Linked DNA regions of Pelodiscus sinensis. The protein of the gene in region 1 purifies or fractionates together with the protein of each later gene. This does not show direct contact. Links are inferred from orthologs where the notes say so. Each region holds a gene or a part of one and is shown on either strand. Other genes may lie near its edges. The genes, in order: EPN1 and PHGDH.

Region 1 (9,821 bases):
TTCTTCCCCTGGTGAGGGCCACTAGGGAGCAGAGTCCTACCCTCTGCTGGAGGGGATGAGCCCTGGTCTCTGTGGGTGGGTGGGCTCCAGCTACCCATCCCCTTCTCCCACCAGCGTCCCTTCCCTGAGGCTGTCAGGCACCGAACGGGGCTGCCAGGACGGGGGTCTACCCACTTCCGCTCCAGCTGTGGGGCAGGTCATAATACCTAGAACTCGCTGTGTGGCCAGGGGGCAGCGAATGGGGCTGGGGGCCTTTCCCCTCTAGGGGGCACTAGCTCCCAGCTGGTCCAGGGCAGAGGCCAGGGGAATTGTTTGTGTTGTGTGGCTAGAATATGGCCACGTTGATGCCCTGTTACAACCGCTGTTGTATGTTACAGCACCTCTTGTCCTGTGCGTGTCCAGGGAGCTGTTTATAAACGGTGTACAAATCGCTAGTTACGACTGTGCCTTTCTTACGCGGGTCTCGTGTTTTTATGGGAAGTCGTGAGCTTTGGCGCTGAGATTCTATTTCAAACGTTTGCCGTGGGCAGCCACCGGCTGGGGCCTTGTGCACACAAGTTGAACACAAGAACTGGCCTGACCATGGGCCTCGGGCGGGGCCAATCCTCATCCAATGAACTTTCCGGCAAACATCAGACCAGCACGGGAGCAAATGGCGCCTACCCCTAAACAACCGAGTCCTGCCCTGACCGGCCACTTGCCCGTGTGACCCCAACTTGTGACTGTATTTTCCACAGCGAGAACAAGGGGATTCCTTCCACCTGGCAAACGATAAAAAGGCCCTAGACACCCTCCATTTTGTCTAAAAACTTGCAAGCCCTTAGCTCCAACCTGAAGTGCGACGGCCGGGGGGGGGAGGCAGTCTGTGGCCCCTTGAGGTTTTGGGTGGGGCCCGGCAGATATTTTATTCACCATCGCCCGTGCCCAGGGTGGCCTGATTCTGCTGGGTTTCAGCCATGTCGTTTTTCCCCCCTACCGGGATCACAAAAGTGACACGCACATCAAACCAAGGCCCGTGAAATGAGATGATAGATTTATAGAATCCTAGAGGTCATCAAGTCCAGACCCCTGCCCTCACAGCCGGGCCAAGCCCCATCTAGACAATCCCCTTCTCCCCCCAGGCAATTTATTCCAGTGTTGAACCACCCTGACAATCAGGAAGTTTTTCCGACTGTCCAACGTCAACCGCCCTTGCTGTAACTTAAGCCCATTGTGTCTTGGCCGTGTGTGATATTCGCACACAACATCGACTGCCAGCCAAGTGGTCCCCCTGTAACCAATCCAAGCTCTGCCAAGGCTCAAGGAGAACCCCTCTCTCCACCCCCCGCACTGTTAGGCACGCAAGCACAGTGAGCGAAACTACCCTCTCCTGGGAGATTCTCTTGGTCGCAACAACCTTGCGGCCTACTGAGATGAAGGAGGGCCTCTCTTGGGGTCCCATCGCTAGTCCAGGTTGCCCCTCCCTGTTCTAAACAAAGGACCGAAGGACTCGTCCAAGCTGTGGGTGGCTTCCTGAGATTTGGCTTACGCCAGCGGTTCATTCCAACGCCGGTACAAGCCTGAGCCAAGAGCTTGGCAAGTGTCGTGTGTATTTAATGTAACTGTTGTAACTGTCGTCCTTTCTCTTCTTTTTACAAATAAACCTTTAGGCTATGTCTACACTGGCAGGTTCTTGCGCAAGGCTTCTTGTGCAAGAACACGTCCACACTGCCATGTGCTTTTGCACAAGAGCATCTGTGGCAGCGTGGACGCTCTCTTGCGCAAGAAAGCTCTGATGGCCATTTTAGCCGTAGGGCTTTCTTGCGCAAGACACCTCTGCCGTGCAGCCACACTGCCTTCTTGCACAAGAGCCCCTGCGCCAGAGAGCTGACACCTGTTAGACAAGAGCGTAGCTCTTGTGCAAGAAGCCCTCTTCCGACACTGTACTGTACGTCTTCTTGTGCAAGAGCGGGCGGGCAGTGTGGACGCTCTGCGGGTTCTTGCGCAAGAACTCGCCAGTGTAGACCTAGCCTTAGAGCTTAGTTACTAAGGGGTTGGCAACCACGTGATTGCTTGGGTCTGATCGAAGGTGTAAACTGAGCTGGGCATGAGGCTGGCCCTCTGGGAGCGGGAGAATTTGTCCGGATTGGTTCACATCACCTCCCCTTGGGGAACGTGGGGGTGGGGGGGCTACTGGCGGTGATGCAGGGGAGCGGGAGGGTCTGAGGGGGTTGCTTGTGGGACTTCTTGCTGGCCAGGGTAGGGGAACAGACGCGCTCTTTGCGACTGTTTGGTGCTTTATCGCAGGGAGCTCCAGTCGTGGGCTGTAGGACTGTCTCAAAGCAATTCGTTCTGAGCTGAGACTCTCTGGAGTGTCCCCCCAGAGCCCTTTTGTTACAGGGGACAGGGGGCACCAGCTCCCATCCACCCCCAGGGCAGGGACAGGCTGGCTCAGAAGGGTGGGGAAGGGGGCCTGGAGCCTTTCCCCTCCATGGCTGCTGTAGCTGGCTGTGGCTTCCAGTTGCTTTGTGGCCCCTGCCTGAAAGGGGTTCACTGGGTCTCTGCCCGGTTCCCAACAGGCTGGACCACAGCGCCTAAGCCCCGCTCTGCCCCTGAGAAGTGGGTCTCCCTAGTGTGAGGGGACCAGAGGCTCATGGAGCCGGGGGCTGCTTCGGGTGAGGCTTGGGGCCCAGCTGTCTCAGGGTGTCTACCGTCAAGGCCTGCCCTACCCTGGGGCGCTGGCGGGAATGGGCCATACTCTATGCAGCTCCTTGAGATGGGCCCTCAGTCCCATAGGATGGGGATGTGCCTCCATCATGCCCTACGGCTATTTTGGACTACAGACCCTACAAGAACAGCGGCTGAGCTGCAGTGTCATGATTCCAGAGAGACCCTACAATAACAATTCCACTGCTCGGGAAAGACCCTACAATGGGGGGGCGGGAAACCCATTAAATAAAGAGAGCTGAAACCGGCGGAAGAAATGCAAAGAGCTGCACCAGAATTGTCGAGCAAAAAAAAAACCACACACTGCCCCTTTAAAAAAACATGGGCTTGGGCTTTTGGGCCATAGCAGGCTCCCATTGGCTGCCGCCATCTTGCAGCTCCCATTTTCAATCACCTCCGGATGGCTCCCTGCCCCGGTGAGCACAGGGGGCCGATTGGAGGGGCGCTGGGGCAGCTTTGCAAGCCACGGGGGAGGCTGTGTGAGTTGCACTTTTGGGGGGGTGGGGAGAGCCGCATTCGGTTCACGAACCACGGGTTGACCACCCCTGCCCTACAATAACAAACCAGTACCCCTCCTCCACTGCCACAGGAGACCCTATAACAGCAAACCAGTGGGTGCGAGCCTGGGAGGGGGGCGGCTTGTGCAGTCCTTCGCTGCGCTGCCTGTTTGGCCCCTCTCTTCGGGCCGGCAGGGGCGGGGGCCATCACGTAGGAACCTGACGTGCAGACGGATCGAATGGATCATCTCCTTGGGTTAAGGGATCACCAGATGGGGTCAGACTGGTCCCCGTGTCCAGTTTGGGGCTCATCACAGTAGGCCAAGGGACCTGAGAAACGTGGCATCAGGCTGGGTCAAAGAGTCACCTGACTGGGTCTAGAGGCCATCAGGCCGAGATGGCTTGGTGATGGCTGGATGGAAGCTGCTTTAGCGGGATACCTCCTGGGCAGCGGAGGACGTGAGGGAAGAAACAGAACAGCCGAGCCGTCTTCTCCAAGATCAGTCCCGTCCCTCAAGCAAAGGAAGACAGGAGGCTGGAGATTCTGGAGGTGAAGTGCTTGCTAGGTTAGCGGCGGAGGGTTTGGGGTTATTTGAACATTTGACCGCCTTCCGCGGGGAGAAGGGGTGAACATAAGAATAGCCAGACTGGGTCATAGCAAAGGTCCATAGCCCAGCGTCCTGTCTTTCGACCGTGTCCAATACCAGTTGCCCCAGAAGGGAATCATCAAGTAATCCCTCTCCTGTCATCCATTTCCAGCCCCTGGCCAACAGAGGCTAGGGATACCATTCCTACCCACCCCAGCTAATAGCTATTGATGGACCGAATCTCCATGAATTTATCTAGTTCTTTCTTGACACCCGTTAAAATCCTGGTCTTCACAACCTCCTCTGGCGAGGAGTTCCACAGGTTGGCTGTGCACTGTGTGAAAAAAAACGTCCTTTTGTTTGTTTTAAACCTGCTACCTACTAATTTCATCTGGTGACCCCCTACTTTTCTTATGTTGTGGGAACAAGTAAATAACTTTTTTCCTTATTCACTTTCTCCATACCTGGCATGATTTTATAGACTTTTTTTTCTAAGCTGAAAAGTCCCAGTCTTTTTAATTTCTTTTCATATGGCACCTGTTGCAAACCCCTCAAGGTATAACGGTTGGACGCCTCCAGCTGAAGAGAAGAGGGCCCAATCTCCTTGTGGACAAGCTGGCTAGAGTAGCGCGTGTGTGTGTGCCACACAATTAGCAAGAGGAGCCTGCAGAAACCGCAAAGAGATGAGCACATTGCACAACATTGAGGTGCTGAGAAATAAATTCACCACAATTCATGAAGGCTGTTGATCAACTGGAGAGGGGTCAGAGAAGAGCCAGGAGAAAGGAGAAAGGGTTAGAAAACCTGCTGTACTGTGACAGACTCACGGAGCCCAATCTAGTCCATTAAGCAAAGAGAAGCTAATTGAGTTTCTAAGTACCTATGTGGGGAATAAATGTTTAATAACAAGCTCTTCGATCTAGCAAAGAAAAGTCTAAGCTGCTTCCGTGGCTGGAAATTAGAGCCAGACAAATTCAGGTTGGTACGAAGGCGTCCGTTAATTAACCGTCGGCACAACTTACCACGTGTCCCAGTGGATTCGCCATCCCTGGGAATGTTTCACTCCAGACTGGATGTTTTCCTAAGAGACGGGGTCTGGGAATTACTGGGGGGGGGGGGGGGGGGGGCAGGGCTGTGGCCTGTGCTAGACAGGGGGTCAGACTAGATGCTCCTATGAATCTGCGCCAGGCCGAGAAGTCCTTGTGCTGGGTCAAGGAAGCCAACACGTGGGGCCAAGGGGACTTCTCTGTGGGTAGGTGTCCCAGCTGCACAGGGGAGGCCGGATATTTGTCTTGGGTGGGGGCCTATTTCCCTCCCCACCCCCACCCCCGTCCTGGGTTTTCTCCCTGGCGGCGCGGCCACCTGCCCCCGCGAGGAGCCGCCGGGTCAGATCCCATCAGGGCAGCCCCCCCCCGGGGCCGGGGTCAGTGCACGGGGCCAAGGGCTCAACAGGCAGCGGGGGAGGGGGGGGGGGGGGTCACAGTGTCACCCTGCCAGACCTGGGGGGGGAGCAGGGCTGGGGTCATCAGGGCAGGTCAAAGGTCATGGGGCAGGTCAAAGGGTCAGCAGGGTGGGTCAAAGGTCAATCTATTGGGCAGGGAGTCAAGGGGGCGGGGCCAAAGCCTCACGGGAGGTGAGGGGTCAAGGGGGGCGGGGCCACGCAACCATGGGGGCGGGGCCAAGGGGAGGACAGAGGGAGGCGGGGCGCGGCGCAGCTTCCCGGCGTCATGGGAGAGGCAGGAAGTGACGTCACGGCGAGGGCGGAAGCCCGGCGGGGGAGCAGGGCGGAAGTGAGGGCGGGCGGCGGCTTCCGCTTCCGGTGCGGAGGGTCCAGCAGCCGCGGCCGCTCTAGCGCCGAGCGGAGCCTCCGGGGCCCCTAGAGCCGGGCGAGAGCGCCCCTCCCCCACCGGCCCGGGGACCCCCCCCCCCAAGTGACACCCCCTCAGGGCGGGACTCAGCCCCCCCCCCCCCGGCTTCTCCGCCCGATCTGAGCCCCCCCGCCCGGGGAGCCCCCCCCCACTGGGCCAAGGGGGCAGCCCCCCCCCGCGCGGGGCCCTGACATGCCCCCCCTGGGCCCGCGCCCCGCCCGGGGATAGGGGGGGATCAGAGGGGGTGGGTCGGTGGGCGAGAGACCCCCCCGCCCGCCCCTGAACCCCCCCCCGCCAGCGCCGCGGGGCCTGAACCCGGACGGGGGGTGACCCCGGGGGCTGGTCCGCCCCCCCCCCCCCCCGCCGGGCGGCGGCCCCGGTGCCCCGCGAAGCTTCTTCCGTCCCGGCCCCCGCGGGGGACGCGAGGTGAGTCCTGCGCGGGGCGCGTCTCGGCTCCGCTGGCAGCAGGGCCTAGGGGTTAGCGCGCCTGGAGCTCTTCTCTGCCTCAGTTTCCCCACCTGTGAAATCCGCTCCCCCTTCGCCGCTTTGGGGACCCTCCCCCCCCCCCGGGCGCTGCCAGCGAGGGCGGCCGCCCTGGGCTCTGCTTTCTGCGAGCCGGCGAGCGTGGGAGGTGAGAGGGACTCGTCCCTCTGAGTCAGCGCCGGTGCCAACTGCCGATCACCCCTTTGACGGGCTGGCGGCGCGCCCCGCGCTGTCCAGAGTTCACGGGAGGGCCGGGCTGCCCTGGCAGGGGAGATCGGGCTGGTGCCTTCGGCTCGGGCTGGGGGGCAGCTTGCAGAGGCTGGAGAGAAGGCCAGTGCTGCCCAGCATGGGGGATCTGGGCCCCGGGTGTTGTGGAGGGGGGGCCAGGCTGTCATGCCCGCCCCGGCTTTGCAGGGTGGCCAAAGGGGACAGGGGAGGCCGTTTGGGGAATCCAGAAGAGGCCCGTCTTGTACCCACACGGGGGTGGGAGGGCACGGGAGTGCGACTGGTGGTGCCTAATCTGGGGGCCTGGTGTAGGAGTGTGTGAGGCAGGGAAGGATTGGTCTGGGGACACGGTGCTTGGGGGGAGTGGGGCTGACCCAGGGAGATCCCTGGGCAGGGAGGGGGTGAGTGGGGCTGGCCCAGAGGCGGGGAGGGAATTGGAGGAAAAGGGGAGGCAGGCAGGCTGGCTGGCTGGCCAGCGGCCTTGACCACCGCAGGGAGTGGTTCTAATCCCCCAGCTCAGCCTTCTCTCTCACGTGGTTCATTGTCACGTCCAGACCCTCCCTGTCTGGCTGCCCGGCAGCCCAAGCAGGTTTATGGGCAGCCCATGGCACAGTGGGGGGGGGGGGGGTAGCTGACTCGTGGGGTGAGAGAGAAACTCTCCACAGCCTGGATGATTTATGGTCCCCCGAGAGGGCTCCCGGAAGTGCCTTTGTGCTGTTGTATCCCCACCTGCTCCCACCCCTCTCTGGAGAGCTACCGGGGCTGGGGACAGCTGGCCGGTTTGGACAGGGAGCTGACGGGGAGATCAGGACGGTGCTGTGCGGATCCCAGCTAGCGTGGTGGATCCCAGCTGGTTCCCTTCCATCTGCCTCCTCGCCGGGCGTGGTGCTTGGCGCTCGCAGAGCCGGGAGTCCCCTCAGGTGCAGCTCTGGGGCACCCATCTGGGCCTCTGGCTAGCGAGGGGCTGATCTGAGCAGTCGGGTCTCCCCCGTGTCATTGTGCCGCTCCTCTTGGCTTTCTGCTACCGGAGCCAGGGAACTGTTGCAAAATCCCCGCGGGGGATAGGCCCCTGCCGCCCGGTCAATTTCATAGTCGGCCCCAAACCTGCTGGAGCCTGTTGGTCCACCCTTCACGGGTGAGGGGCGGGACTCCCACTCCCCAGGGCTCTGGGGGTTGGGTCTGACATGAGACCCCCTGGGATTGGCAGGGCGTGGAGGGGGTGTGAGAAGAGCTGCGACAAGCCCTCCGACCAGCGTGTGGTTATGGGAAGGTCCAGTGGGTAGGAGGCAGATTAGTGCTTAGAGCAGGGAGGCAGGACTCCTGGGTTCTCTTCCCAGCTTTGGGTGGGGGGGTCTAGTGGTTAGAACGGGCAGGGGCTGGGAGCCAGGATTCCTGGGTTCTCTCCCTGCCCTCTCTCCATGAAGCGGGGGGTGGCCTGCATGGGAAGAAGGGGAGGGGGTTCCCTGAGTCCCAGGAGCACTGCAGGACCACTGCATGGGCTCTGAGGGCCAGGGGGAACCTGCATTCCACCCCCTGGAGGTCTCCAGCCCCTGCAGCTCCCGGGTCCCAGCTGGCAGCAGCCAGAGGGGAAGGAAGTGAGGCCTTGTGCCTTTCTGAGTCATGGCGCCAGGACGCCTGGAGCTTTCCTTCCTTCCCCCGGCGCTCGCCGGGCTCTGCTCCGTGGCTCCGATCCCTGGGTCCGGAGATGTGGCTGCCTCTGGGGTAGAGCTGGGTGCTGGTTATCCAGGCACCCATCCCTGGTGCTGGGGTGCGGCCCCTCTGGGGCAGAGCATGGGGAGCGGGTCACCTGCACGCCCCTAGCCCCAGGCTAACACACGTCTGGCTGCGGGGCCGGCTGTGACGGGAGGGGCGAGTCCCTCCCCCACCCCCACAGTGCGGCGCCCCCAGAGCTCTGTGTCTCTTCCTTCCCCGGGGCCTTTGGCTGGAGGCTGAATTCCAGCTGCGCTTGGCGTCCAGCCGCTGGGGGCTCCAACCACTGGCTGCTGCTGCCTCCCGCCAGCTTGGGTGCGTTCTCTCCTGGGTCTAGACCCCCCCCGACCCCTCCCAGAGTTAGTGCTCCCTGCCCGCACGCTCCCGCCGGGGAGGGACAGAGGAGGCCCCGGAAGCCAGTCCCCCCCGGGGGAGTGTCGGACTCCTGGCTCCCAGCCCCCCTTTTGAGCCCCAGAGCCTGGGAGAGAACCCAGGAGTCTCCTGCTCTAACCACTAGCCCCCACTCTCCTCCCAGTGCTGGGGGGAGAACCCTGCCCCCCTGGCTGCGTCTCGTGCCGGCTCTGTGTCATGGAGTCACTGACCCTGCTCTCTGTGTGTTGCAGGTGTGGCTGTGAGTGGCCGTCATGACCGGCTCGCCCCTGCCGGCCCAGGCCCAGAGAGTGGCCTGACCCCCCTCCCTGCACCCGCTGGTGCCAGCCCTCCCCATCGCACGGACACAGGGGGATTTCCTGCCCCCCGGCCAGGGATCCGGGGCCCTCCCCATTGCACGGACACGGGGGTGCCCCCCCTCCCCTCGCAGGACTGGGACCAGGAGCTGCCCCGCAGCCGGGCCGCCCCCCTCCCCTCCCACCATGTCGACCTCCTCGCTGCGGCGCCAGATGAAAAACATCGTCCACAACTACTCGGAGGCAGAGATCAAGGTGCGGGAGGCCACGTCCAACGACCCCTGGGGCCCGTCCAGCTCGCTCATGTCGGAGATCGCCGACCTCACCTACAACGTGGTGGCCTTCTCGGAGATCATGAGCATGATCTGGAAACGGCTCAACGACCACGGCAAGAACTGGCGCCACGTCTACAAGGTGCCGCCCCGGGGTCCTGCCTCCCAGCACCCTGCCCTAACCACTAGTCCCCTCGACCTCCGCCCGGAACTGGGGCGACAACCCAGGAGTCCTGCCTCGCTGCTCTAACCGCTAGCTCTCACTACCCTTCCAGAGCTGTGGAGTCCTGCCTCCCAGCTCTAACCGCTAGCCCTCGCTACCTTTCCAGAGCTGTGCCTCCCAGCTCTAACCGCTAGCCCTCGCTACCTTTCCAGAGCTGTGCCTCCCAGCTCTAACTGCTAGCCCTCGCTACCTTTCCAGAGCTGTGCCTCCCAGCTCTAACCGCTAGCCCTCACTACCTTTCCAGAGCTGTGGAGTCCTGCCTTCCAGTCTCTGCTCTGACCACTAGCCTCCACCCTCTCCCAGAGCTGTGGATACAACCCAGAAGCCTTGGCTTGCAACCCCGCCCCCCCCCAGCTCTAACCACTAGATCCTGCTCCCCGCCTGCCTTCTCTATGTGGGGAAGGGGTGGCCTACAAACAGCAGCTTTGTGGGTGGATGGGCAGGTGGGCTCTGGCTGTGGGGGGGGGTGCATATGCCCTGCGGGGGAGGGGTGTTGTGGGGCTCAGTGGAAGTGTTGTGGGGGCTCTGGCTGCGGGGGTGCATGCGCTGTGTGGGAAGGGCTGG
Region 2 (9,532 bases), on another chromosome or scaffold:
CGTCTCCCCCCGCCACCGCATCCCTCCACCCCCCCCCCCCGCTTCTCCCCGCTCCCGCATCTCTCCCCCACAGCATCTCCCCGGCATCCTTCCGTCCCCCCTGCATCTCCCCCCCCCACATCCCAGCATCACTCTCCCCATCCCTCCTGCACAACATCCTTCTGCCCCCTGCATCCCCCTGCAACACCCCTCTCCCTCTGCATCACCCCTGCAGCATCCCTCCGCCCCCCTGCATTCCCTCCCCACCTACCCCCAGCATCTGCCCCCACACCGCTTCCAGGAGAATGACTGTGGTGGCCAGTGGGGGACACAGAGATGTCTAAGGATCCGGTGTGACCTGGGGAACTCGCTGCCACAAGACGAAAGAGGCCACAAGGCGGGACGCAGCCACCAGCCGGCTCTGAGCCTGCGCTCCCACGTGCTGCCACAGACACACCAAAGCCCCAGAGCAGCCGAGCGACCTGCCACGGGCTGGGCAGGCAGAGCAGGAGAGTCCGGGCCTTCTGCTGGGCAAGGCTAGGTGGGCTCCAGCGCCATGGGCAGGGCCTGGCGGACACACGGAGAGACAGACAGATGGCGAGGCCACAAGCCAGCAGCGAGTGCAGTCGGCAGCCGTGCGGGGCCAACACAAGAACTCCCCGGGAGCCTGTGACGGGAGCGCGGGGTCATGGCCACAACCGGCAGCCAGGCAGCGACTGACCCCACTTCCCGCTGTGGCGGCGCGTCGGGGTCCCCGTCTCCTGCCCCCCGGAATGGCACGAACAGACTCCCCCAGCCAGTAGCACAGGGGGGTTTATTGCCTCTGCAGGACACAGCCCAGCACAGATGGAATCTGGTCACAGGCACTGGGGCTAAGAGGCCTCAGCCCCCCTTGAGATGGGGGGTGGCTGGGCCCTACAATCCCAGCCCCCTCCCCAGCTCCTTCTCCCCTGCTTCCCAGACCGAAACTAACCCTCTTCCAGCCCTGCCCCCAGCCCGGGCGGCATCCTCCTTCCTTTGTCCCTCTCCCTGGGGGTAGCTGGTCGGACAGGTTGAGAGACCCACTTTGCATAGTGACTCACCCCTGCCCTGCTGGGCCGTGCTACAGACAGCAGCCAGTGGGGGTCACCCACAGCCCCATCCTAGCAACCAGCAAGGTACCCCCACTACGTCACACCACCTGCGAGACTTTCTGTGCCAGACGCGCCCTGGGCAGCGCAGGGGGGTCGCCCAGCGACGGGGTTGCCCAGCGACGGGGATACCTAGCGACTGGGTCGCCCAGCGATGGGGATACCTAGCGATGGGGTCGCCCAGCAATGGGGATACCTAGCGACGGGGTCGCCCGGTGACGGGGATACCTAGCGACGGGGTCGCCCGGTGACGGGGATACCCAGCGACGGGGATACCTAGCGACTGGGTCGCCCAGCAATGGGGATACCTAGCGACGGGGTCGCCCGGTGACGGGGATACCTAGCGATGGGGTCGCCCGGTGACGGGGATACCTAGCGACGGGGTCGCCCAGCCCCATCAGCGCCCCAGGCAGCGGAGACATTCCTTCCCAGGCCAGGCCAGAGGGAAGCACGGCCTCTGGCTCAGGCAGGAGCCTGGCACGCTGCGCTGCCACTCTGCCACGGTCCAGTCCTGCCTGGGTGACCCCAGGCAAGTCACTCAGCCTGCCTGTGCCTCGGTTTCCCCTCTGCACCCCAGCGCGGCGCGGGGGAGCGATGCAGGGCAGCTGGCCAGGCTGAGCCCTGAGCTGTGACCCACACTCTGTGCCCCCTCTAGTGGCTCGACGAGGCAGTGCATCGCCACAGCACTACCGGCGGAGGGGCGGGAGGAGGTGCCCCCTTGCCCTACAGACTGGCCCAGAGGGCAGCCCCCAGCCCCCGGCACTCGCAGGGCCCTTTGCACCCAGGCTCCGCGGAGTCCTCCCTGGCAGCTGCTGCCCTGGGGAGGGGCCTTTGCGGGCTGGTCCAGGGGGCCTGGCGTCCTGCCCCTCACAGCCTGCCCGGCCCTCTGCTGGGCTTTGCTGGACTTCACTTGCCGGGGGCAGGGCAATTTTAGTCGTGCAAGGCCCAGCCTGGCTCCTTCCCCGCATTGTGGCCTGGGCCACACAGATCTCCGGCCCCCCTGGAGCAGCAGCGGGTAGTCAAGGTCCCTTCCAATGGTTTCCATTGGTGTGTGGAATAAATTTTATGTGCACCCAGGCATGTGCAGGTGTGCACCACCCATACATTCACCTGCTGCTGGCTGTGGGCACTCTGCGAATCAGCTGGGTGGGATTTGAATCTCTCTGGGTGGCTGCCCCAGTGCCCAGCTCCCGGGAACACTGGTCCCTTGGTGTGACAGCGTGGGCGCGGGGCCAGGCTGCCGGCAGGAGGCTGAGGGATCCGGAGTCCAGAGGGCACTCCCCACGGGAGCGAGGTGCTGCCAGGTGGAACCTGTTGTCCAGGGTTGCTCAAGACAGAGCCCTTGACCTGGTTTCCTGTCCGGGTCCAGCTACCCTGGACTTTCCCCCAGCTCAGACGTCAGCGCGGCCACCGGCCCGAGGCGGCTCGCTCTGCCTGGCCCTGGGGATGGGCTGTTTCCCTTTCCTCGGGGAACCGTCTCGGAGCAGCTCCCCCCCCAGCAGAAATCGGCCCCGTTTGTAATCCCCCTTACAAACTCCGAGCCCAGAGAGCCGGGGGCTGGACTCAGGGCTAGCCCGGGCCATGGCGGGGCTGTGGGGGGCCAGTGGGGGCTCTCTGTCCCTGCCTGTGCAGAAGAGCTCATTCCGGCGCCCATCACCCTGGCACGGCAGGTGAGAGGCCCTGATGGGCGCCCGTCCTTACCCCGCTTGCCACGCAGACCAGGTGGGGCTTGGGCCACGGACCCCTCCCCCAGCTCTGGCCATTGCCCGACACAAGTAGCTTAGTTTGGCTGCTCCTTCCTCCTGAGGATCGGCCCGGGGGCCCGGCAGCCTCCAAGGTCGGGGAGGGAACAACCGGACTCCTGGCGCTAGGGCCCTACCAAGTTCACAGGCCATTTGGGCCTGGACTCCTGGTGCCGTCAGCGATTCCGAGCCGACGTGCCGGTGCTGGAGCGGCGGGAGAGTCCCGGGTTATCGGAGGGGGGTGCGGCGCTGCTCCCCTTACTGCTGCGCTGCCTTCAGAGCTGGGCGGCCAGAGCAGCAGCTGCTGAGCGGGGAGCCCAGCTCTGAAGGCAGCACCGAGCCAGCAGCGGCACAGCACAGGGCGGCCTGCCATGGTGGGGCTCCCTTACTGCTGTGCCACTGCTGGGGGCGTGCGGCCTTGGTGCTGGCACCTGGCCACCAGTCGCCTCTCTCTGGCCACCCGGCCTAAGGCAGCACAGAAGTGAAGGGTGGCGACGCCACAACCCCCTAAAACAGCCTTGGGACCCCCTGCTGCAAACGTGCGGGTCAGACCCGGTTTGAGAGGGGCGGGGCTCTGTGGGATCTGCTGGGTAAAAGCGCACAAGGCCAGATTTCCCTGGCGGCGCAGTCCCGGGGGCAGCAGGTGACGAGAAACGGGCAGCGGAGTTGCCAGCCCCGAACGTTCAATCACCACGTGCCAGGCTCAAAAGGATCCCGCCTGGGGCAGAAACTCCCGAGACCCGAAAGTCAGCCTGGGGCTCTGTCTACGCGAGCCCTCTGGGCCCGGCTCCCGGCGTCTCCCTGCAGGGCCTGCGGCCGCGTGGGGAAAGCCCAGCCAAGCCCCACGGCGCGGCTCTGAGACGAGCCCCTGCCATGCTGGGAACCCTGCAGCCAGATTCCCACGCGGGACCCCGTGGCGGAGACACCGACTGGGGCGTCCCGTGGGCAGGCGGCTCGGCGGCTGAGACACGGCGCCGGGCACAGCGGGATGCGCTGTAGCTCACAGATCTGAGCGCCGGCAGCAGGCAGCGGGGCAGGCCTGGGCCTGACGTGAACACGCTGTGTAACCAGGCGCACGTGGGGTAAAGGAGCAGACGCACGTTTCGTGCTGGTCCCAGGCTCCGGTCTGGCTGTCGGGAGAGCCCGAGGGGACCTTTGGGGCGCACGAGTCTGAGCTCCGGCCTAAAAACTCTCCCCCCGCCCAGCCAGGGAAGCGCCCGGCCGTCTATCAAAGGGGCTTTGTTTTCTCCTGCACAGACCCTGGGCCCCACACGCCTGCCCTGCCCCACTGGAGGCGGACGCTGGAACTGGCCTTGGTTTTACATGGCTCCGGGGGCGGGCCAGCTTATCTGGAGGCAGCGGGTTTTCTGTGTGCAGCTCCCCCAGCCAAGAGCTGCCTTGGACTGGTCTGTTCTGGGGATTCCTCCTCACCAGCCCCACTGTGCCCGGCTCTGGGCCTCGTCCTGCGCCGGGGCCAGGAACGACCCCTCTTGGAGACAGGAGAGTGGAGAAGGGAGCCAGGACGATCCGCTTCGGCCCCCACTGAGCCTGGGAGCTGTGCCACTAGCCACAGTGTCCGGGGGCGGCAAGTCCTGATCTCAGTTACCCCTGCTCTGCTGGAGGGGCGCTGGGGCGCTGGGGGGCGACTCCAGATCGACTCCAGCGTCTCTAGGACAGGACGTGGCACCATTGGCAGACGTGTTCTGTTTTCCTGCGCCCTGGGCAAGGCCGGGCGGCCAGGGGGTGCTGCACTGCGGGGGGGGGTAGCTAGTGTGATCCCCCCCAGCGAGATTACATCAGCCCAGTCCTGGCTCCCTGCTGCTTCCCCCCGCTTTGCAGATGGGCACACTGAGGCTGGGAGCAGGCCCAGAAGCCGGGCCACCTTCCATGCAGCCTCGCCAGGGGCAGGGCACCTCTCGGGCAGACCAGGGGTAGGGGGCAGGCAGGGGGCGGACGAGTTGCAGATGGGACGGGGGGCAATGGGTGGGCGGGGGGCGGGCGAGTTGGGGGGGCAGGAGCCGGGGGGGGAAGGGGCGGGCGAGTTGCAGACGGGGGGCGGGCGACTTGGGGGGGCAGGGGGTGGGGGGGAAGGGGCGGGCGAGTTGCAGACGGGGCGGGCGGGGGGCGGGCGAGTTGGGGGGACAGGGGGCGGGGGGGAAGGGGCGGGCGAGTTGGGGGGGCAGGGGGCGGGGGGGAAGGGGCGGGCGAGTTGGGGGGGCAGGGGGCGGGGGGGCAGGGGCGGGTGAGTTGGGGGGGCAGGGGGCGGGGGGGAAGGGGCGGGCGAGTTGGGGGGGCAGGGGGCAGGGGGCAGGCGAGTTGCAGACGGGGCGGGCGGGGGCCGGGCGAGTTGGGGGGGCAGGGGGCGGGGGGGAAGGGGCGGGCGAGTTGGGGGGGCAGGGGGCGGGGGGGAAGGGGCGGGCGAGTTGGGGGGGCAGGGGGCGGGGGGGCAGGGGCGGGTGAGTTGGGGGGGCAGGGGGCGGGGGGGAAGGGGCGGGCGAGTTGGGGGGGCAGGGGGCAGGGGGCAGGCGAGTTGCAGACGGGGCGGGCGGGGGCCGGGCGAGTTGGGGGGGCAGGGGGCGGGGGGGAAGGGGCGGGCGAGTTGCAGACGGGGCGGGCTCAGGAGCCGGAGCCGGAGCCGCAGCCGCCGGAGCGGGGAACGCAGCGCAGGGAAGCGCAGGGAAGCGCCGCCCGGGCCCCGCAGACCCCGCCGCCCCCATGGCCCGCGCCGCGCTGGGCTCGGTGCTGCTGAGCGACCCCCTGGACCCCTGCTGCGCGCAGCTGTTGCGGGCCGCCGGCATCCGGGCGCGGGAGCAGCCCGGCCTGAGCCCCCCGCAGCTGCTGGCCGAGATCCAGGTGGGGCCGGGCGGGGGGGCTGCTGCGGGGGCACCGGCCCGGGCCCCTCCCCCGCCAATCCCGGCCCGCGCCCCCCCGCACCCGCCAGCCGCGCCTGATGCAAGAGGGGCGGCTGCTTGCGCGGCGCTGGCTCGGGCGGGGGGGTCCGGCCCAGCTCCCGTGACGTCGTGGCGGGGGGGGGGGTCTGTGCAGGGCGGGGGGCGGGGGCAGAGCCCCCTGGGGAGCTGGAGCCGCTGGCCCGGGCTGGGGTCTCGGTGCCCCCCGGCTCTGGGCCGGAAGGGGGGGGACAGGCTGGCTCTGACCGGGTCCCGCCCCCAGGACTGCGATGGGCTCATCGTCCGCTCAGCCACCAAGGTGACGGCCGAGGTGATCGAGGCCGGGAAGAAGCTGCAGGTGATCGGGCGGGCCGGCACCGGCGTGGACAACGTGGACGTGGAGGCGGCGACGCGGAGGGGCATCCTGGTGATGAAGTAAGGGCCTGGCGCCAGGGCAGAGCCGCCTCTCCCCGCGTGGCGGCCCGTGTCTGAGCCGGGCAGGGCTCCGGGCGCCCGCGGGGCCAAGGTCAGCTCGTGTGTGCAGGGGGTGCGCCCCGTGCAGCTCCATGGGCACATGGTACCCCCCCGCCCTCATTCCACACCCTTGGAGCTGGTCCAGAGGGATTCAGACAATGCGGGGTGGGAGGGAGGCTCGTGGCGGGCGCGGGGCTCTGGCCCACGTTCGGAGGGAAGTTCGTGGCGGGCGCGGGGCTCTGGGCCACGTTCGGAGGGAAGTTCGTGGCGGGCGCGGCGCTCTGGGCCACGTTCGGAGGGAAGTTCGTGGCGGGCGCGGCGCTCTGGGCCACGTTCGGAGGGAAGTTCGTGGCGGGCGCGGGGCTCTGGCCCACGTTCGGAGGGAAGTTCGTGGCGGGCGCGGGGCTCTGGGCCACGTTCGGAGGGAAGTTCGTGGCGGGCGCGGCGCTCTGGGCCACGTTCGGAGGGAAGTTCATGGCGGGCGCGGCGCTCTGGGCCACGTTCGGAGGGAAGTTCGTGGCGGGCGCGGGGCTCTGGCCCACGTTCGGAGGGAAGTTCGTGGCGGGCGCGGGGCTCTGGGCCACGTTCGGAGGGAAGTTCGTGGCGGGCGCGGCGCTCTGGGCCACGTTCGGAGGGAAGTTCGTGGCGGGCGCGGGGCTCTGGGCCACGTTCGGAGGGAAGTTCGTGGCGGGCGCGGGGCTCTGGGCCACGTTCGGAGGGAAGTTCGTGGCGGGCGCGGCGCTCTGGGCCACGTTCGGAGGGAAGTTCGTGGCGGGCGCGGCGCTCTGGGCCACGTTCGGAGGGAAGTTCGTGGCGGGCGCGGGGCTCTGGGCCACGTTCGGAGGGAAGTTCGTGGCGGGCGCGGGGCTCTGGGCCACGTTCGGAGGGAAGTTCGTGGCGGGCGCGGGGCTCTGGGCCACGTTCGGAGGGAAGTTCGTGGCGGGCGCGGGGCTCTGGCCCACGTTCGGAGGGAAGTTCGTGGCGGGCGCGGGGCTCTGGGCCACGTTCGGAGGGAAGTTCGTGGCGGGCGCGGGGCTCTGGGCCACGTTCGGAGGGAAGTTCGTGGCGGGCGCGGGGCTCTGGGCCACGTTCGGAGGGAAGTTCGTGGCGGGCGCGGGGCTCTGGCCCACGTTCGGAGGGAAGTTCGTGGCGGGCGCGGGGCTCTGGCCCACGTTCGGAGGGAAGTTCGTGGCGGGCGCGGGGCTCTGGGCCACGTTCGGAGGGAAGTTCGTGGCGGGCGCGGGGCTCTGGGCCACGTTCGGAGGGAAGTTCGTGGCGGGCGCGGGGCTCTGGGCCAGATTTAGCCAGCGTCTCTGGAGTTGATGGCGCTCCAGAATGCTCCAGCGAGAGCCACACAACTTTTTCTGTACTTACAGCTTTTGCTGAAAAAATGCAACTTGGGGTAAAATTCCCCACGTGGCTTCAGCTCCGAGCAGAGAGACACTTTGCAAACGTTTCTCCAGTGGCGCCGTGTCACTTTCTGCTTCCACATGGTTTCTGAACTTGGCCAGACCCGATTCAAAAGCAAAACGAGCCCCCCCCGGAAATGGAAATGAGGAATTCGCTTTTGAGTCAGACCAAATGGCTCCTTCTGGGTTGTTCACGTCAAGCCGGCCGCCCCGTTGTCCACTCAGCTCACGCTCCAGCCCCCTTTGCTGGGGGCTGCTCGGGGCAGGGACAGTGACCCCCGGTGCAGAGCCCAGGCACTGAGCTGCAGGGCGGTGGGGGCCAGATGGCTATGGGGGGAGAATCTACCCGGCGGGGGGCGGGGGGCGGGATGTACGCCGGCAGCGCAGGCGGTGTGATGGCAGCAGACAGTGCCAGCGCCGTGCCCGGCTGGGCCCGAGGCTCCGCCATGGGGTGACAGGAGAGTCGCTGGGGCCGGGCGAGCTGCCGGTTCCCAAGTGGGGGGCTGCCCAGTGCCCCGGGGCTCCCCTGCCCCCCATGCCTGTGCTAACCCCGCGCTCTGCCCACAGCACGCCCACCGGGAACAGCCTGAGCGCCGCCGAGCTCACCTGCGGGATGATCCTCTGCCTGGCCAGGTGACCCCCAGCGCTGCTCGGGGGGCTGAGTAGCCCCTCCCCTGCTGGGCTGCCCGCTGCCCCATCCCCCTGCCCTCAGCAGCCAACTCCCACCACTGCCCGGAGCCCGGCGCCAGCTCTGGCCTGCCCCAGGCATAAAGCCAAGCCCAGGCTCCCCCCACACCCGCTCGCCCTGCCAGCCTGCAGCCTCCCACCCACGCCCCGGCACAGAGCTCCAGGCATCCGGCAGCCCTGCCCCAGCCATCTGGCTCCGAGCTGCTCACCCAGCATGGAGCGGAGAGTCCCGCCCCACGGCCCCGCCCCACAGCTGACATTGCCCTTCGAGTCCCGCTGCACTGCCCTCTCCAGTCACACGGCCGCCAGCTGCCAGCACCCACTCCCAGCGCCGCATCTGTCCTCCCCCCCAGGGCACCCCATTGCTGCCCTTGCCCCTCCCCCACTCAAACAGACCCCCCCCCCCCGTGGGCATGCCCCATACCACGGGCACAGACCCCCAGCAGGCACACCCCATACCATGGACACAGGTCCCCAGTGGGCACGCCCCATATCACAGGCACAGAGCCCCCGTGGGCACACCCCATACCACGGGCACAGACCCCCCCCGTGGGCACGCCCCATACCACGGGCACAGACCCCCCCCGTGGGCATGCCCCATACCACGGGTACAGACCCCCCCCATGGGCACACCCCATACCACGGGCACAGACCCCCCCGTGGGCACGCCCCATACCACGGGCACAGACCCCCCGTGGGCACGCCCCATACCACAGGCACAGACCCCCCCGGTGGGCACGCCCCATACCACGGGCATAGACCCTTCCCCCCCGTGGGCACGCCCATACCATGCGCACAGACCCCCCCCATGGGCACGCCCCATACCACGGGCCTAGACCCTCCGTGGGCACGCCCCATACCACGGGCACAGACCCCCCCCCATGGGCACGCCCCATACCACGGGCACAGACCCTCCGTGGGCACGCCCCATACCACGGGCACAGACCCCCCCCATGGGCACGCCCCATACCACGGGCACAGACCCCCCCCATGGGCACGCCCCATACCACGGGCACAGACCCTCCGTGGGCATGCCCCATACCACGGGCACAGACCCCCCCCATGGGCACGCCCCATACCACGGGCACAGACCCTCCGTGGGCACGCCCCATACCACGGGCACAGACCCCCCCATGGGCACGCCCCATACCACGGGCACAGACCCCCCCATGGGCACGCCCCATGCCACGGGCACAGACCCCCCGTGGGCACGCCCCATACCA

What was found.
Region 2: the proteins of EPN1 (region 1) and PHGDH purify together in Homo sapiens (affinity purification with mass spectrometry; 3 studies listed by BioGRID and IntAct, with this or other methods). This does not show direct contact. The link is inferred for Pelodiscus sinensis from reciprocal best matches to the Homo sapiens genes EPN1 and PHGDH.

What each region holds. Positions count from the first base shown.
Region 1 is NW_027465849.1:3,114,983-3,124,803, reverse strand, and holds the start of EPN1 (epsin-1), read left to right. Parts: upstream 1-5,579; 5' UTR 5,580-6,084; intron 6,085-8,699; 5' UTR 8,700-8,948; coding exon 8,949-9,176; intron 9,177-9,821. UniProt on the Homo sapiens protein: Binds to membranes enriched in phosphatidylinositol 4,5-bisphosphate (PtdIns(4,5)P2). Modifies membrane curvature and facilitates the formation of clathrin-coated invaginations. Regulates receptor-mediated endocytosis.
Region 2 is NW_027465903.1:143,808-153,339, forward strand, and holds the start of PHGDH (D-3-phosphoglycerate dehydrogenase), read left to right. Parts: upstream 1-5,454; 5' UTR 5,455-5,566; coding exon 5,567-5,704; intron 5,705-6,022; coding exon 6,023-6,174; intron 6,175-6,271; exon of another isoform or gene 6,272-6,330; coding exon of another isoform or gene 6,331-7,551; intron 7,552-7,968; coding exon of another isoform or gene 7,969-8,070; intron 8,071-8,189; coding exon 8,190-8,255; intron 8,256-9,532. Other genes in the region: uncharacterized protein LOC142824412, read right to left, coding at 6,331-7,551, 7,969-8,070. UniProt on the Homo sapiens protein: Catalyzes the reversible oxidation of 3-phospho-D-glycerate to 3-phosphonooxypyruvate, the first step of the phosphorylated L-serine biosynthesis pathway.